Linked DNA regions of Neurospora crassa OR74A. The protein of the gene in region 3 purifies or fractionates together with the protein of the main gene of each other region. This does not show direct contact. Links are inferred from orthologs where the notes say so. Each region holds a gene or a part of one and is shown on either strand. Other genes may lie near its edges.

Region 1 (3,591 bases), on a different chromosome or scaffold from region 3:
GCGTGGCGTGCGCGGCTGCTCACCCTTCTCTGGCAGGCGGTTGGCGCTCTGGCCAACATACTGAATGCGATGGGCGAGTTCACTGCCGCTGTGCAGCTAGTAGAAGCAGTGCTGCCGCGCTCGATGGAGTCGGAGAATGCTTTCAACACAGGCATACTGTATAGTATCCTGGCGGATGCCAGGATGGGACAGGCTGGAAAAGCTGCAAAGGCCAGGCAGGCGATGACGACGACGGGAGAAACAACAGGAGCGGCGGCGAGCTTGATGAGCAACAAAAAAATCGACCTCTTTACGAAGGCACACGAGGCGCTGGAGTGTGCGTTCAACCACTTCTCTGCGGCGGAAGATCTGGAGAAGCAGTGCGAGACGTTGGCGAAGAGGGCGACGCTAATGAAAGTGCTGGGGGATCATGCTCGAGCGGAGGAGTATGCGGCGCGGTATATGGCATTGAAGAGGCAGAGCTCGTCGGGCGAGCATTCTAGTGTATGGTCGACAGATACAGGTACGCCATAATATGGTTTGGGTGGGGCTCAGTAAAGCTCCGGTCGGACGTTTTTATGGAGCAGTTCGGTTGTAATGACTTGATGAGGAATGGAGAATATTGTCGCTGGCCATAGAGGTTGATGTTTGATTTCATCGAACATGGCGCGGATGTGTGCCCCTTGTTTTGTGTCTTTATACCCCTGGTAGAAATGGAAGGAAGCTATGAAGGCTCACTGCACTTTGTCTCATGGAGATCCCCAGCAATAGCAGTAGAACACTGTTTTCGTCCTGCACATGGGCTTCCATCAAGAATAAGATCATATGGATGTCAATGCGAGCCTTTACAAAGGCTGATATCAGAATACAAATAAATTGATATGATGATTGCGGATCAGTAGACGTGGTGGTGCCTCTAGCACTCGTCCTGTTCTTTCTTTTCCACACTTCATTCACAGTCCCATGCCACCTGCTCTCACTACACGCTAGCTGTCCCAATTCTCTTTGCTTTCCAATGATCCAGGGATGATGCCAGTCTAGCAAGCAAGAGCACAGATGGTGCTTGTGAAGCTCGCATCAACAAGCCACTTACGTGACCTTGTCGCGGTTGTGGTAGTTGACAGACTCGTTCCAGCTAAACAGAGTTGGTATCGGTCAGTAGTTGTTGCCATAGAATGAGGCTCCTTCGATGGGGCGGGCTCGACACGCTCAAAGCTCCTTCGTTCAGAAAGGCCATGCAGAGATGCCCGCCGGTTGTGCGAGCTTCGGATGGGTTAAACGTACAAGAGAGTCTTGTCACCATCGCCCCAGGGGTAGTTGCGGGTGCGGATGTTCTGGTAGGGGTACTCGGTGCGCTCCTCAAGGGGAGGGAGGTGGGACCAGTGCTCCCAGTGCTCGTTGTAGAGGGTGTAGGCGTTGTATCCGGCGAGGGCGAGGGCAGGGGGAATGCCGCTGGGAGAAAGGGTGAGTTTCGTTAGCTTATTGTGTTCCATTCCCCTTTTCTGTCCCCCACTCAATCAAGCATTCCGTAGATGTTGACTGTTGATCCCCTTCGTCTTCTCGGCGGTGCACGTCGGCTATGACGTTGGTGTCATGCGCTCGTCGTTGAAGGCGGGCTCCGATCGGAGCTCGATGGAGCTTCATTTGAGCTAGCTGAAGTTCCAATTCCTTCAGAGTCCGAGGGGTCCATCCGGGAAAAACCACGCAGCGGGGATTTGGGGGGTGGGAGGAAATGCGCATACTAGAGAGAGATCTTGCGCCAGAGCTCTATATGGCGACTCCCGGTTAGCATTTCCCGTCCATCGATAATCGGGGTCGGCAATTGACAAGGGCGGGTGGTGGATTAGTGCGCACCGGTGGTCTCAGCGGCGTGCTGCTTGACGGCCTCACGCTCGCGGACGAAGGCGTTCTTGCCGGACTCGTTGGCAGGGGTGCTGGCGAAGCGGCGCTGGACGGTCTGGCGGACCGCGGGGGCGCGAAGGTTGGCGGCGAGGCGCGCGAAGAACATCTGGCGTTGGGCGAACATGGTTTCCGTATTCGTTGTGGTCGACTACAGGTGGTTCGGAGGAGGACTGGTAACGAGGTGGATGCGGAATCAGCAGCAAAGGTTGTAGCAAGCTGGCCCCACTCTTTTCCTCCTGCGCTTGGCGGCTTCTCGTGACTCCGGGTGCGAACTGAGTGAGGTCAGAGACCGATCAGCTCATTGCTCAGTTCGACCTCGGGTGCGTGCGTGGGTTGCGGCTGCTCATGGGGTGTGGCTGGAGTGCACAGACAGTCGAAATCAAGCCACAGTGCCAAGTGCACGTTCCCGTTGAAAGCTTGAGTTGCGCGAGCAGTCGGAATGACGAAAGCAGCTGCCTGTCAGGTGACTTCGTGTGTGGACCGCCCAATTCACCTGCGTAATTCAACCGCACGAGCCAATCGTTCGTTTGTGGACGCCGCGAACTACTTGGCGATGGCTTGGCAGCTAGTGACATCGTTGGTCGTTTGCCGCAAGGTGTGGCAAACTCCAAGAGACTGGGAATATCGATCGATGTAGCGACGTGAGGGAAAGATCAATTGTTCCCGAGACCTGAAGCTCTTGCTCATGCGAAGCCGAACATCGAAGACGTCAGCCCATGTCCCTCTGCTTCTCGTGTGGCCATTGCAATTACAAGCGCCGCATCCGGCGACCGAAGTGACTTTGTTGTGCTATAAACCTGGTAGATCTAGAGAGCTACCTTAGCATCAGTAAAGGAATATCTGAAAATGGGGTTACGGATCACGACGTGGAATGGTGAGATCCTCTTGCGCGTTTTTGCTGCGTTTTGCCTGGTCTAACTCAAACCAATGTGTAGTCAATGGTATCAGGTCGGTCCTAACACGACAAGCCGTCCCTATGAACCAGCTCTGACCCTGCTTCAAGAAACCCATTCAGTTACCAGCCATGGCGGGAGAACCGCACGTTTCAGGTGGGATCAAGTTCCCTATTCAAAAGCCCTATCTGGCCGGATGCTCTAACACAGTGAAGGCCATGTTCGACACCTTGGACGCCGACATTGTGGTCATACAGGAAACCAAGATTCAGCGGAAGGATTTGAGAGACGACATGGTCCTCGTCCCTGGCTGGGATGTGTACTTCAACTTACCCACGTACAAGAAGGGCTACTCGGGAGTTGCAATCTACACTCGTTCCTCGAAATGTTGCCCGATACGCGCCGAAGAAGGCATTACTGGCGTTCTGTGTCCGCCGAACTCGTCCACAAAGTTTCGCGACTTGCCTGCTGATCAGCAGATTGGTGGCTATCCCACTCCCGGCCAACTCTCCAGCGACATAGACGAAGCTCAACTTGACTCCGAAGGAAGGTGTGTCATCTTGGAGTTCCCTGCCTTTGTTCTTATCGGTGTATACAGCCCGGCCACGCGAGACGAGACCAGGATCGAGTTCCGTCAGGCCTTCATCGACGCCATGGATGCCAGAGTTCGTAACCTTGTCTCCTTGGGGAAAGAGGTGTTTCTCTGCGGCGACCTCAACATCATCCGAAACGAGATGGATACCGCTGGTCTACCAGAACAATTGAAAAAGGAGGCCATGACACTCGACCAGTTCATCTCGACCCCTTCGCGCCGGTT
Region 2 (3,854 bases), on a different chromosome or scaffold from region 3:
CAAAACCGGAGGGGAGAAGTCCGAAGCCCCCAAGTTGGTAGAGTGCGCGAGACACAGGCATTCTGCGTGGGCAACGGCCGTGGCTCACGTTGAGGGCGAGTCTTGGCTTGAAGCTGATGCCAATGGCAATCTGATCGTGCTTCAACGCAATGCTGAGGGCGTGACAGTGGAGGACCAGCGGCAACTGAGGATAACAAGCGAGCTCAACCTGGGAGAACAGGTGAACAAAATACGCCCGATCAAGGTCGAGACTAGCCCGAACGCCATCATCATTCCTCGAGCGTTCTTGGCCACGGTAAGTTGCCTGTTTCTCAGATTGATCATGTCACAAGGTCAAGGCTAACAATTGACTTGATAAAACAGGCGGAAGGCGGTATTTACATGTTTGGTACGATTGCGCGCGAACAAGACCTCTTACTTCGGTTCCAGGATAAACTGGCGGCGGTGATCAAGACAGTTGGCGAACTCGATTTCAACTCCTACAGGGCATTCCGCAATGCGGAAAGGGGGCCCGAGGCAGATGGAACGACTGGGCCGGTCAGGTTCCTGGATGGGGAGTTGCTGGAGAGGTTTTTGGATGTGGATGAGAAGACGCAGAAGGAGATCTGCGAAGGTCTTGGGCCGAGCGTTGAGCAGATGCGCAATATGGTAGAGGAGCTACGGAGGATGCACTGAGCCAACGGTTAGACACTTAACGTGCATGATTGGATGTCTACAAGTCATCGCTTTGGCTGCTGAAGATTTTGGCAGTTGCAAGTGTTGTCAATAAGTGCTGTGCTCAAAACATGGCTGCATAGGGTGAGAGAAGATGAGTCTGTGAATAGCCTCAGATGAACGAATGAATTATGTATGATCAATAGATCAATTGACATCACTGTCTTGGCACCCTTGGCTCGCCGAGTCGCTGACAGTTCAAGTTGTCCGGGCGCTGCGGTGACGCGCTGAGGTGAGCCCCACCACCACCATCACCACCACCAACAGGACGAACCAGGCGACGGAAGAAACCGGAGAGTGGACGAACAGGCAGTCACAGCCAATCAGGGCCGGCGCATTAAGTAGCTCTCTAGCTGCTGGGCGGACGCTGTGGTTGGTTAGTGCCTCAGGCCACAAGCCAGTAGCTATGGCGGTTTCCCATGCCGGGAAAGGTGGGAACCAAGCTCGGCCCAGAAAAACCTCAGTCCGTGATTTTGGCCTCGTCGTCTCGACCGCATTACGCAGCCGTCAATTCCGTCTCCGGAACACCGCCCACGTCCACCGTCCTCCCGCGACTCCGAAAGAGCAGAACCTCGCTCGATCTCCCCGCTCTCGCAACCCCCTCTCTCCGCTCCGACCTCTGTCCACGCGAGTAATTCTACCGACACAATGGCGCCCGTCTCGATCGTTTCCCGCGCCGCCATGCGCGCCGCTGCCGCCCCCGCCCGGGCCGTTCGCGCTCTCACCACCTCGACTGCCCTCCAGGGTTCCTCGTCCTCCACCTTCGAGAGCCCCTTCAAGGGCGAGAGCAAGGCCGCCAAGGTCCCCGACTTCGGCAAATACATGAGCAAGGCGCCCCCCAGCACCAACATGCTCTTCTCCTACTTCATGGTCGGCACCATGGGCGCCATCACCGCCGCCGGCGCCAAGTCCACCATCCAGGGTGAGTCTTGACTTGATGGGATTTGAGGAGGAAGCTTCACACATTCCTCGAGGTTGGGGAAAACAAAGAGGTGGCATAGGACAGATGGGTTCGGGTCAATGGGATTCGACAAGGGGGTTCTGTTATGGTGGGGCGAGCTATCTACGGTTCCGTCTCATCGATCACCAATTTGCGACCACTATGACAACTTTCGATATCGGGGCGGATATGGTTGGACCTTGGGGCGATGTTGAAGCATGGATACATGGGGAAAATGCCATCTTGCACATGCACCCACGAACACCCAAGAACTAAAGACAGCTGACGAGGCGACCGTGTTATACAGAGTTCCTCAAGAACATGTCGGCTTCCGCTGATGTCTTGGCCATGGCCAAGGTTGAGGTTGACCTCAACGCCATCCCCGAGGGCAAGAACGTAAGGATCCCTACGAAACCGGATTAGCAAAGGCTTGGGCTGAGCTGAGCTGGGCACATCGATTCCCGACGACGATCAAACCATGATGGAATGCTGACCCCGGTCTTTTCCTACTTTTACAGGTCATCATCAAGTGGCGTGGCAAGCCCGTCTTCATCCGTCACCGTACCCCTGCGGAGATCGAAGAGGCCAACAAGGTCAACGTTGCCACCCTCCGTGACCCCGAGACCGACGCCGACCGTGTCAAGAAGCCCGAGTGGCTCGTCATGCTTGGTACGCCCCTCCATGTCCCTCTTTGCGATCCGAACAAGACGAAGGATAGCATTTTTGGATGCTCAGATCCTGGATACACGACGATGTGGGGAGACTGACATTTGGTGTGTGAACAAAACAGGCGTCTGCACCCACTTGGGTTGCGTTCCCATCGGCGAGGCCGGTGACTACGGTGGCTGGTTCTGCCCTTGCCACGGTTCTCACTACGATATCTCTGGCCGTATCAGGAAAGGACCTGCCCCTCTGAACCTCGAGATCCCTCTCTACGAGTTCCCTGAGGAGGGCAAGCTTGTCATTGGTTAAGCGAGCAAAAAGACAAAACTTTCCGATTGAACAAACAAGACACAATTTTTAACCAAACCTACTAGGGAATCCTCTCGATATTCCCTTGTCCACTTTTTTTTTCCCTTGCTGCCCGAGAGACGATGACAGGGAGAATTGTATTAGTACGGGGGTATTGCGACAAAGGGCTTGAGTGGAAGCATGTCATAGACCATAAAACGGGATTTTTGTTTTCCGTGGTTCTTGACGCGGTTTCGTACGACTATCCTATAGACAGAAGACACACATACGCATACACAACAGCAAATCAGGTGTCACGGTCGATCATATGCGCTCGAGAGTCGGAAACTTCTATATACTCAGAACTGCGTTCTTCACCTACGCAACCCTACATACCTATTATTGGTGCTGAGCTTGGCGCTAGGTTGCTGCTGAGTGTTGTACCCTTGCGTTTTCCTATAGACTGGCTTTGTAGAAAATCCTATTGTATGAGAGGCTCACTGGAGCATGGTACCGTGAGAAGGTCTTCCTCGACCCATGGCAGTCGGCTGTGGCTAAGAGCTTTGTGAGGAAACCATAGGTCAGCTGATGAACCTCCCAATGCTAACGCATCTGATCATCCAACACGGCATTGGTAAATACAAATGGCCTTTTATGCGGGTGTGGGACAGACAGGCTACATGTCGAATTGCTGGAGAGCAGCTCGACCAGAATTACAGATGTTGACAACTTAATCTTAGCTTGGCCAACCTTGCGAATCAAGCCCAGTCGGTATACCCGCCCGTGCTACTCTGGTAGCTGAGTTAAGGAAACGCCCGCGAACCGGTAGCTTACCCTGGTTGTTTCATTGACGTCTGAGGAATTCTCCGAACGTAATTATATCTGAAGCCCGCCTTAACATCTTGTGCGCTACTCAAGCCGACACATAGTTAGTGCACTACCTCCAACCATAGCCCCTTGCCAATGCTGGCCGGGTGGGTTGCAGTCTCATTGCAGGGGCTAGGTTGTACCCCCATGCGCTCCCCCTTGCTCTGAGTCTTTTTCCCCCACAAACAAAACAACCTCATCTTTTGAACTTCGCCTTCCCGGGCGCGTCTTGACACAGCTTTCTCACTTCTTCACCAAATTCTCGAAACCCCTCACCCTTGCGGCTCAAAGGGGCTGCTCCTAGGGTCATGTAACAAGCGAAGTTCCATCGTTCGTCTGATCTGACTTGCCGACTACCCGAGGCACCATGGCGGCCACGATT
Region 3 (3,524 bases):
GCTAAAGTGTTCTGTTGGTATACTATCGAGTTTTTGTATATTCTTCAAGTGGCTTTCTATGGTGGTTTAGGAAGAAGGTGGGGATACATTACACGTTACATATGATCATGTCGAGCTCGCCTTTCTCCTTTTGCAACAGCATCCCACACCAGGAACCAAATGATGTTAGCTCGATCTTGTTATAACCAAAGATATGGATGGGAAACTTGCTTTATTAGTCTTCGATCTTAGAGAAAGCAATAACGGGATTCGTAGAGGGACTTAGCATAAAGAGGCAAGCAAGGTTATTATCGTTACTGCCACTTGTAGCTCACTAGTCTGTCGGTTATCGAAGAATTGATTTTCCTCCCTGTCTTGATCTCTCTGCTTCCATGTATTGAAACTGGTGCTTGCCTGTTGTTCTCAAGCCAAAGATTTGCATGGGGAATACTCGAGGAACAATGTGCGTACGGTTTCCAGTTCTGTGGCAAATAGGGAATTCGTCGGAGATGGGCCTTATCCTAAGAGAGTGGATATGTTCATTCGTAGTCCTGCCCCTAAGTCGCTTCGAACTTTGAACTCACACCTGCTTGCAGTCATTTTCGACACCAACGTGTGGCAGGGTGACATGCCCAATATATCCCACACCAAACATTACCTCTCTATTATCTTATCATAAAACCCGGAGCCAACAGTCATGTACAACCCGCAATAGACTCAAAGTTTGAATGAAGCCTGCCGCAATGCCCCATATGCCCAACCAGGGCGATTGCGCTCTATGTCCATATGATCCGCTATAATACATACAATTTTCCACACACGGGGAGGAGAGAGATGAGACTAACCCTTGCGCTATGCACCACTATGCACACACCCTGCCCTTTGGCCCCTCTTCCATGTCCTGCCTTGTTCAAGCCCTGCCCAGCCCAGTGTCGCTTTATTTTCGTTCTTCCCTCTCTTGTTCGTACACATCCACCAGTTCGTGTCTGCTGCCCTTTTGCTCCGTGTTGAACCAAGGACACACACACATCTTCATCGCAGTGGTCTTCCGTGCTGGTGAGAAAGACACTGGTTTTCTTCTGTCAGTTCTCTCGAAGATTAAAATAATAGAGAAGGCTGGCTAGCTATGCACTCTTTTCATGGAGCAACGATAGATGGCCAGAGAGTCGTGGGATGAAGGGAACAGAAGATGACTTTTTTTGTTTCCTATTTCATTCTTCGTCCCCACTTCAGTCAACCTCGTTGGTCTGGGGGGAGGGGAAGAACGTCCTCCTGGCGACCTAGTGACACAGTAAAGTTAGCAAGGTGTATTTCCAGTCTACGCCTGCCATACGAAAAATGGTGACATACCGCCCAAGTACCGGCTATCGTCGCAACAATACCACCCGAGATCATCATGGGCTTCAGACCCCTGGTGCTCTTGAAGAGCATACCACTAAGCGCACCGGCCAGGATTGAGTTGGCGGCATCGTGCTTGCCCCTCACGTAACCAATGCCGGCGTTGATTAGGTTGTAGCAGATGGCGACAACACCAGCCGAGTTGCCGAGGTAGGGACCGCGACGGGTGACAGCGTTAAGGACGGAGTTGAGGCGCAGCTTGGGCGGCTGGCCGGCCGATCTCTGGAGACCCTCTTTCAAACCCCACGCGCCTCCGATAGTGAGGGCCGTCAGGTAGGTGATACCGGTTCCGTAGCAGAGGTCGTCAGTGAAGCCGCGCGAGGGCAGAACTGAGGCGCCGGCGGCATCGGGCAGCGGGGTATCCTCAAGCGAGATGTATTCTAGTGTTTCCTTGTTGAGGCCGGCAAGAGGGTGTAGTTGTGTGGGGTCGGCGAAGGAAGAGCTACCGAGAAAGGCCTCGACACCTTGGGGCTGGCTAGCATCGAAGGGCGAGGGATATGAAGGAGCGGAGGTGGTGGTGGTGGTTGTCTGAGGTGCGCTGGGGGCGGGTGCGGCGGGCTCTTGCTGCTCTTGCTGCTTCTTGTTGCCTCCGGTGAGGGTGTTCCAAAGGCCGGACATTGTGACTGAAGTGGAGGGGTTCGATGGGTTATCGGATCGTTAAGCAGTTGGGGAACACGAAGCAGATAGACCGCGTACTGCTGCGCGCAAGAGTGGTGACGGGTAGCCGGAGGGAAGGGTGGGTGGGTGGTGCCGTCGGCAAACGAGTAAGCTATCGTATCTTCGGGGGAGTGACGGACGGGTCGGTGGGCGAGACGGATGGGATCTCGAATTGGCTCCGGCTCACGCGCAACTTGGACCGACGCCTGTCTTGGCCCCCGATAACGTCGGAACTTCGAAAAAATTTACCTCTATGGCGCCCGCATGGCCCGTGCGAGCGATTGGCGTCATATGTACCTCTACATATGTATATACATGCTCTGGGGCTTTGATTTCGGGGACATGTCAACATGGCGAAGTGGAACTCAACCGAGGCTGTAATGAAGAAGACCTTATTGAAAGGTCAACTGCAGTACATCGTGGGCATCTGAAGCTAGACTACGCCTTGAACAGATATATTCAACGGATTCTCCATGTTCCCATTCCTGCTTTCTCAGGACTTCTTCGCCTTTGGATCTTTTACGGGGACGGTTCGTTCGTGGGGATTCTTTTACTGCTACAGTGCAGGGGTATCTCTTGACATGGCGGCAGGCAACTTCAGACCCAAAACAAGCACGGTGGCCGGAGTGGATTCACCCCCAGAACATGCGCAGTGGATGTAAACACACAGTGGGTGATGCTATAGGCCTTTGAAGATCCCAAAATTTCACAACTCGTCGCTCATACTTTACACGAGTGCCCAGCAGAGAGGTGGATTACTTACTATCACAGTAACTTCAGGCCCTCACTAACTCTCACTGGGGGGCTCATTGACGGTCAGGCACTTACCACTCTTCGCTCCTTCTTTATTGCCTCCCTTTCCCAGTCATCATCACTCTGCAACGAAGTCTCGGATGCACGTCTAAACCCGGTCCCTCAATCATAACTTCCCTTTTGGACTGCGGGGATGGAGTCAACCCAAGTCCAGCAAAATGCCCCCGGCAGCAGCACCATTGACACGGACGCTCTGCTAGCCGGACTGGGCCCCGAAGTGTTTGAAAATGCCAACACCATCACCAAGTGGCTGTTGTCACAACCCACCGAGTCACTCCCAGCGTAGGTTTCTTTTCTTTCGGATATCTTCAGTGTCCAGTTATTCTTTGTGAGAAGTTCTCAATCACACATATACAGACATTCACTAACACCCGTGTTAGCATCGCACAGGCAGTATTTGCCAAGTTGTTCAGCAATGCCTCTGAGTCTCGCCAGTATCACGGCAACGGTCACGATGTCGTAAGGCTCTGCAGCTTTGTTCAGCAATGCGCCAAGGCCAAAGACGAGAAGCTGAAGGAATGGGCCTTCACCGAGCCCGTCTCAACGAAGCTGTTCCATTTCTACCTTGAGTGGTATGAACACGACCCGCATCGTGCCCTGAGACTGATTCTTGATGTCCTTGTGGCCTCGGCGACCATTAATCCCAAACCCGAGACAGGGAAGGCAGTGAAGGAACA
Region 4 (3,954 bases), on a different chromosome or scaffold from region 3:
GCCGGGAGTCGTCGTCCTGCCAGTAGCAGCTGATCGATTACTCCTCGCGCTACGTCCTGCTGAGGGGGAGGCAGTGAGGTCATCAGCGCGATGTTGCTGGTCGCGAAGTCGAGAGGTAGGGGTTTTGACTGTCCGTTGGCTGCGTGGAGTGGCGGCGGTTGTTTGTTCTGCTTTTCTGGGGGTTCCACCGCCGCGGCCGGGGGTTGAAGAGGTGGAGGGGAGGATATTGGAGAGGTGGGAGCAGAGGCGCTTGTAGATGCGTGGTGGAATGGGAGGGCGGGGGTCGATGGGGGGGAGATTCAGGGTTATTTTGAGTCTGCGAGCATGTGTTAGTGTTGGTTTTGTATAGTCACAGACAAAAGGTGAAGTAAGGCTGAGACGAGATGAGATGTGAAGGCATGAGTCGAGATGATGAGATGCAGTATCGTACCTGTCACATGCCAGGTGGGCGCAGGCATAGGTGCGTGCAATCTCCTCTTCGGCTTTGAGTGTGCTTGCACGATGGCGGGATTGGGCGAGGAGTGAGCTGGCGAGATCGACGAGTGGTTGTGGGAGAGTCGTGTTGTGGGTTGGTAGAAGTGACAAGAGCGCCTGTTCTATAGAGCGATTCATCTTGGCTTCCACACTTTAGGAGGTGATTTGTTTACTTGTATTTTTTTTCTTCTTCAGATTCAGTAATGGAGGTGGTGATTTGTTGAGAAGTGAGCTTAATTTCAAAATAATGGCTGTATTTGTACTCCTGGTAGGCTAGGTATGTTTCGAACCTAACATGTGTATGAATAAGTTGTTTATGATTAAGTCAGTCCATGAGCCTCTCGAATCACAAAGTGAACAAACAGAACAGACCGAGTTTCGTGACGCGACGAGACTTTTCCTCGTGTAAGACGCCAAATCACGTGTCGAGACTGCGCTGTCGGCGCACCTGTTAGTGCATAATTGCTCCCTAGGTAACTAAGAACTACGTAACATTGTGGGGCAATGTGCGCACCGAGCTTTTAGTGTAGCAGTGCGGGAGGCCAGATGTCCAAAGTGGCGAGAACACTGACAGCGACTGACTCTGCGTTACAGAATAAGCGGCTGCCACCTGCCACGGCGGCATCAGCATTTAAGGCGGCACTATGGCCCTTGATCAGCTAATCAACTTGCTCACCCAACCGTTTCGTTCTCCGCCGCCGCCGCCGCGTCCACTCAGTTGCATCTGCTGCAGTCCGCCACTGAGTGACTGACTGGCACTGACTATTGTACTGTCATTTCCACCACCAACACTTTAGGTTTGCCCTGGTCATTGTGAGATCTCCGCTCCTTCGCATCCGTCTGTCGCAAACAGAGAGAGAGTGGGTGTAAACAATCCACCATGGCTTTCCACGCAAGTGGGCTGCCGGTAAGTCTTGCGCAATCCGTCTTTTAGACTAGCTAGTACCTTAAGTTGCCGTCCTCTTCCATGAAGCTGACCCCTCCGCGCGCCTGCCAGACCATCGCGGCGGCAACCACCGAGTTGTGGCCTTCCATCGCGACAACCCTGACCGTTCCCTTCGGGTTACCGACCTCTCTTAAGGCGCAACAACGGCTTTCCTACAACTCGAACGTCTCGACAGCATCTTCGAACGCCTCCCGCACCCTTGCTAGCTCCCCCGCGCGCGAAGCTTCCAGCTCCTCGGCGCTGCCCGCCTTCCTGAGAACTGCGCCTCTACCCCAGCCCGTTGTCTCTCAGGGTCTAGCAAATGCTTCGCCTACAAACATCTTTTCGGAAATCTCAAGCATGTCTTCCCGCCAGCTCGCCATGGCGAACCCCCTCTTCCGGCGCTCGTTTTCGGCGCTCATGTCGAGGCCCCTGGGCACTGTCAACACCCTTCGGTCCATGAGCACCCACCAGCCCGGTCGCATTCCGTCCTTCTTCCGCTCGCCAGTACACTCTTCTCTCGGTTTCACTCTCCAGGTCCGCAGCTTTGGAAACGGTGGTCTCTCGCACAACCTCCTGGCTGCTCGCGAGGCCGCTGCCAACCAGTTCCCAACCAGCGCCGGTGCTCAGTATGCTTTCTACCAGGCTCTTCTCAAGGCGAACATGCCTGCTATCATTATCGAAAGGTATCAGTCTGGACGTTTCGCCACGAACGAGCAGGTAGACCAGATCTACCAGCAAGCCCTTGCCATGTCTACCGGTCAACCCTACACGCCTGCGAACAACACCGTCGATAACAATGGCTATCACCCCTCCGGTTTCACCGCTAGCCAGATCCATGCCGCTGGTACTGCCGCTGCTGCTCAGCATACTGGTGGAAACATGGCCATGGTCAAGCCGATCGCTGCTGGTGCCAAGACGGGTCCTCTGCATATCGTAGTTGACGAAAGTTTCGGAAGCTCCGCTCTCAGATGGGTCAAGTTTCTCATGTGGTTCACTCTCTTCACGTATCTCAGCATGGTCGTCATCACAATGGTTTTCGAGGGCTTGAGCAGCATCAAGCGCCCCGGTGGCAAGCTTGAGGCCAGCGAGGTCAAGCCTGAGAACCAGAAGGCTCGCTTTGCTGATGTCCACGGCTGTGATGAGGCCAAGGAAGAGCTTCAGGAACTTATCGACTTTTTGCGCAACCCTGAGAAGTACTCGACTCTTGGCGGCAAGCTCCCCAAGGGCGTGTTGCTCGTGGGACCCCCCGGTACTGGTAAAACTCTTTTGGCTCGTGCTGTCGCCGGCGAAGCTGGCGTTCCCTTCTTCAACATGTCCGGTTCCGAGTTTGAAGAGGTCTACGTTGGCGTTGGCGCAAAGCGTGTTCGTGATCTCTTTGCCGCCGCCAAGGCCAAGGCTCCCTCAATTGTTTTCATCGACGAACTTGATGCTATTGGTGGCCGGCGTAACTCCAGGGACGCTACCTACGTACGTCAGACTCTCAACCAGCTTCTTACCGAGTTGGACGGTTTCGAGCAAAACAGTGGTGTAATCATCATCGGCGCCACCAACTTCCCCGAGTCCCTTGACAAGGCGCTTACCCGCCCCGGCCGCTTCGATCGCAATGTTGTTGTCTCTCTTCCCGATGTCCGCGGCCGTATGGCCATTCTCCAGCACCACGCCAAGCGCATCAAGGCTGCTGCCGATGTCAACCTGGAGGCTATTGCTTCCAGAACTTCTGGTCTTTCTGGTGCCGAGCTGGAGAACATTGTCAACCAGGCTGCTATTCACGCCAGCAAGTTGAAGGCTCAGGCTGTTACTCAAAAGGATTTCGAATGGGCAAAGGACAAGGTCATCATGGGTGCTGAGAAGCGTAGTATGGTTATCACAGCCAAGGAAAAGGAGATGACTGCCTATCATGAGGCTGGTCACGCCCTCGTCGGATATTACGCCAAGGACAGCGCAAGCTCGCTTTACAAGGTCACCATTCTTCCACGTGGCCAGACTCTTGGCCACACTGCCTACCTCCCTGAGATGGACAAGCACTCGTTTACTGTCAGGGATTACTTGGGTATGATTGACCGTGCCATGGGCGGCAAGGTCGCTGAGGAGATTGTCTATGGTAACGAGCTTGTGACTAGCGGTGTTAGCGCTGTACGTTCTCCCCTCCCCTTGTTCCACTTGATTAGACGAGTTAACTAACATGGCATTCAGGATCTTGACATGGCCACCAGAACCGCCTGGCAGATGGTTGCTCAGCTCGGCATGTCTGAGAAGCTCGGCCCCGTTGAGTACCTCCGCAAGTACAACCAGCTCAGCTCCGAGACCAGGGCGATGGTTGAGTCCGAGGTGAAGAGAGTTCTGGACGAATCGTACGAGCGTGCGCGTAACCTGCTCACCTCCAAGAGGAACGAACTCGACTACTTGGCCAAGGCGCTCGTCGAGTACGAGACACTGGACAAGAAGGAAGTTGAGAGGGTGATTCGGGGAGAGAAGTTGAAGGATCGCATCTCGGTGCCGCCAGGGCCTATGGCTATTCCCAAGCCCAGCGACACCCTGGAGCCGGGCCTGCC

Evidence for each region. Proteins that work in one complex are often made in the same cells at the same time.
Region 1: the proteins of tim23 (region 3) and eat-5 purify together in Saccharomyces cerevisiae (affinity purification with mass spectrometry; 3 studies listed by BioGRID, with this or other methods). This does not show direct contact. The link is inferred for Neurospora crassa OR74A from reciprocal best matches to the Saccharomyces cerevisiae genes TIM23 and COX13.
Region 2: the proteins of tim23 (region 3) and fes-1 purify together in Saccharomyces cerevisiae (affinity purification with western blotting; 3 studies listed by BioGRID, with this or other methods). This does not show direct contact. The link is inferred for Neurospora crassa OR74A from reciprocal best matches to the Saccharomyces cerevisiae genes TIM23 and RIP1.
Region 4: the proteins of tim23 (region 3) and iap-1 purify together in Saccharomyces cerevisiae (affinity purification with mass spectrometry; 3 studies listed by BioGRID, with this or other methods). This does not show direct contact. The link is inferred for Neurospora crassa OR74A from reciprocal best matches to the Saccharomyces cerevisiae genes TIM23 and YME1.

Annotation. Positions count from the first base shown.
Region 1 is NC_026501.1:1,850,572-1,854,162, forward strand, and holds eat-5 (encodes anonymous transcript-5 protein), read right to left. Parts: upstream 2,202-3,591; 5' UTR 2,006-2,201; coding exon 1,834-2,005; exon of another isoform or gene 1,772-1,833; coding exon of another isoform or gene 1,747-1,771; coding exon 1,722-1,746; intron 1,432-1,721; coding exon 1,264-1,431; intron 1,115-1,263; coding exon 1,069-1,114; 3' UTR 514-1,068; downstream 1-513. Other genes in the region: eat-6 (anaphase-promoting complex subunit Apc5), read left to right, coding at 1-513; NCU01961 (DNA lyase Apn2), read left to right, coding at 2,728-2,755, 2,817-2,829, 2,885-2,930, 2,990-3,591. UniProt on the Saccharomyces cerevisiae protein: Component of the cytochrome c oxidase, the last enzyme in the mitochondrial electron transport chain which drives oxidative phosphorylation.
Region 2 is NC_026504.1:1,785,251-1,789,104, forward strand, and holds fes-1 (ubiquinol-cytochrome c reductase iron-sulfur subunit), read left to right. Parts: upstream 1-1,155; 5' UTR 1,156-1,362; coding exon 1,363-1,636; intron 1,637-1,961; coding exon 1,962-2,050; intron 2,051-2,172; coding exon 2,173-2,323; intron 2,324-2,444; coding exon 2,445-2,626; 3' UTR 2,627-3,354; downstream 3,355-3,854. Other genes in the region: dim-8 (DNA damage-binding protein 1), read left to right, coding at 1-295, 364-675. UniProt on the Saccharomyces cerevisiae protein: Component of the ubiquinol-cytochrome c oxidoreductase, a multisubunit transmembrane complex that is part of the mitochondrial electron transport chain which drives oxidative phosphorylation.
Region 3 is NC_026503.1:3,607,791-3,611,314, forward strand, and holds tim23 (mitochondrial import inner membrane translocase subunit tim23), read right to left. Parts: upstream 2,242-3,524; 5' UTR 1,996-2,241; coding exon 1,330-1,995; intron 1,260-1,329; coding exon 1,209-1,259; 3' UTR 501-1,208; downstream 1-500. Other genes in the region: NCU00372 (hypothetical protein), read left to right, coding at 2,981-3,129, 3,228-3,524. UniProt on the Saccharomyces cerevisiae protein: Essential component of the TIM23 complex, a complex that mediates the translocation of transit peptide-containing proteins across the mitochondrial inner membrane.
Region 4 is NC_026502.1:979,497-983,450, reverse strand, and holds the start of iap-1 (intermembrane space AAA protease IAP-1), read left to right. Parts: upstream 1-1,154; 5' UTR 1,155-1,354; coding exon 1,355-1,381; intron 1,382-1,471; coding exon 1,472-3,535; intron 3,536-3,595; coding exon 3,596-3,954. Other genes in the region: NCU10376 (hypothetical protein), read right to left, coding at 1-316, 431-612. UniProt on the Saccharomyces cerevisiae protein: Catalytic subunit of the mitochondrial inner membrane i-AAA protease supercomplex required for mitochondrial inner membrane protein turnover. The protease is probably ATP-dependent. Important to maintain the integrity of the mitochondrial compartment.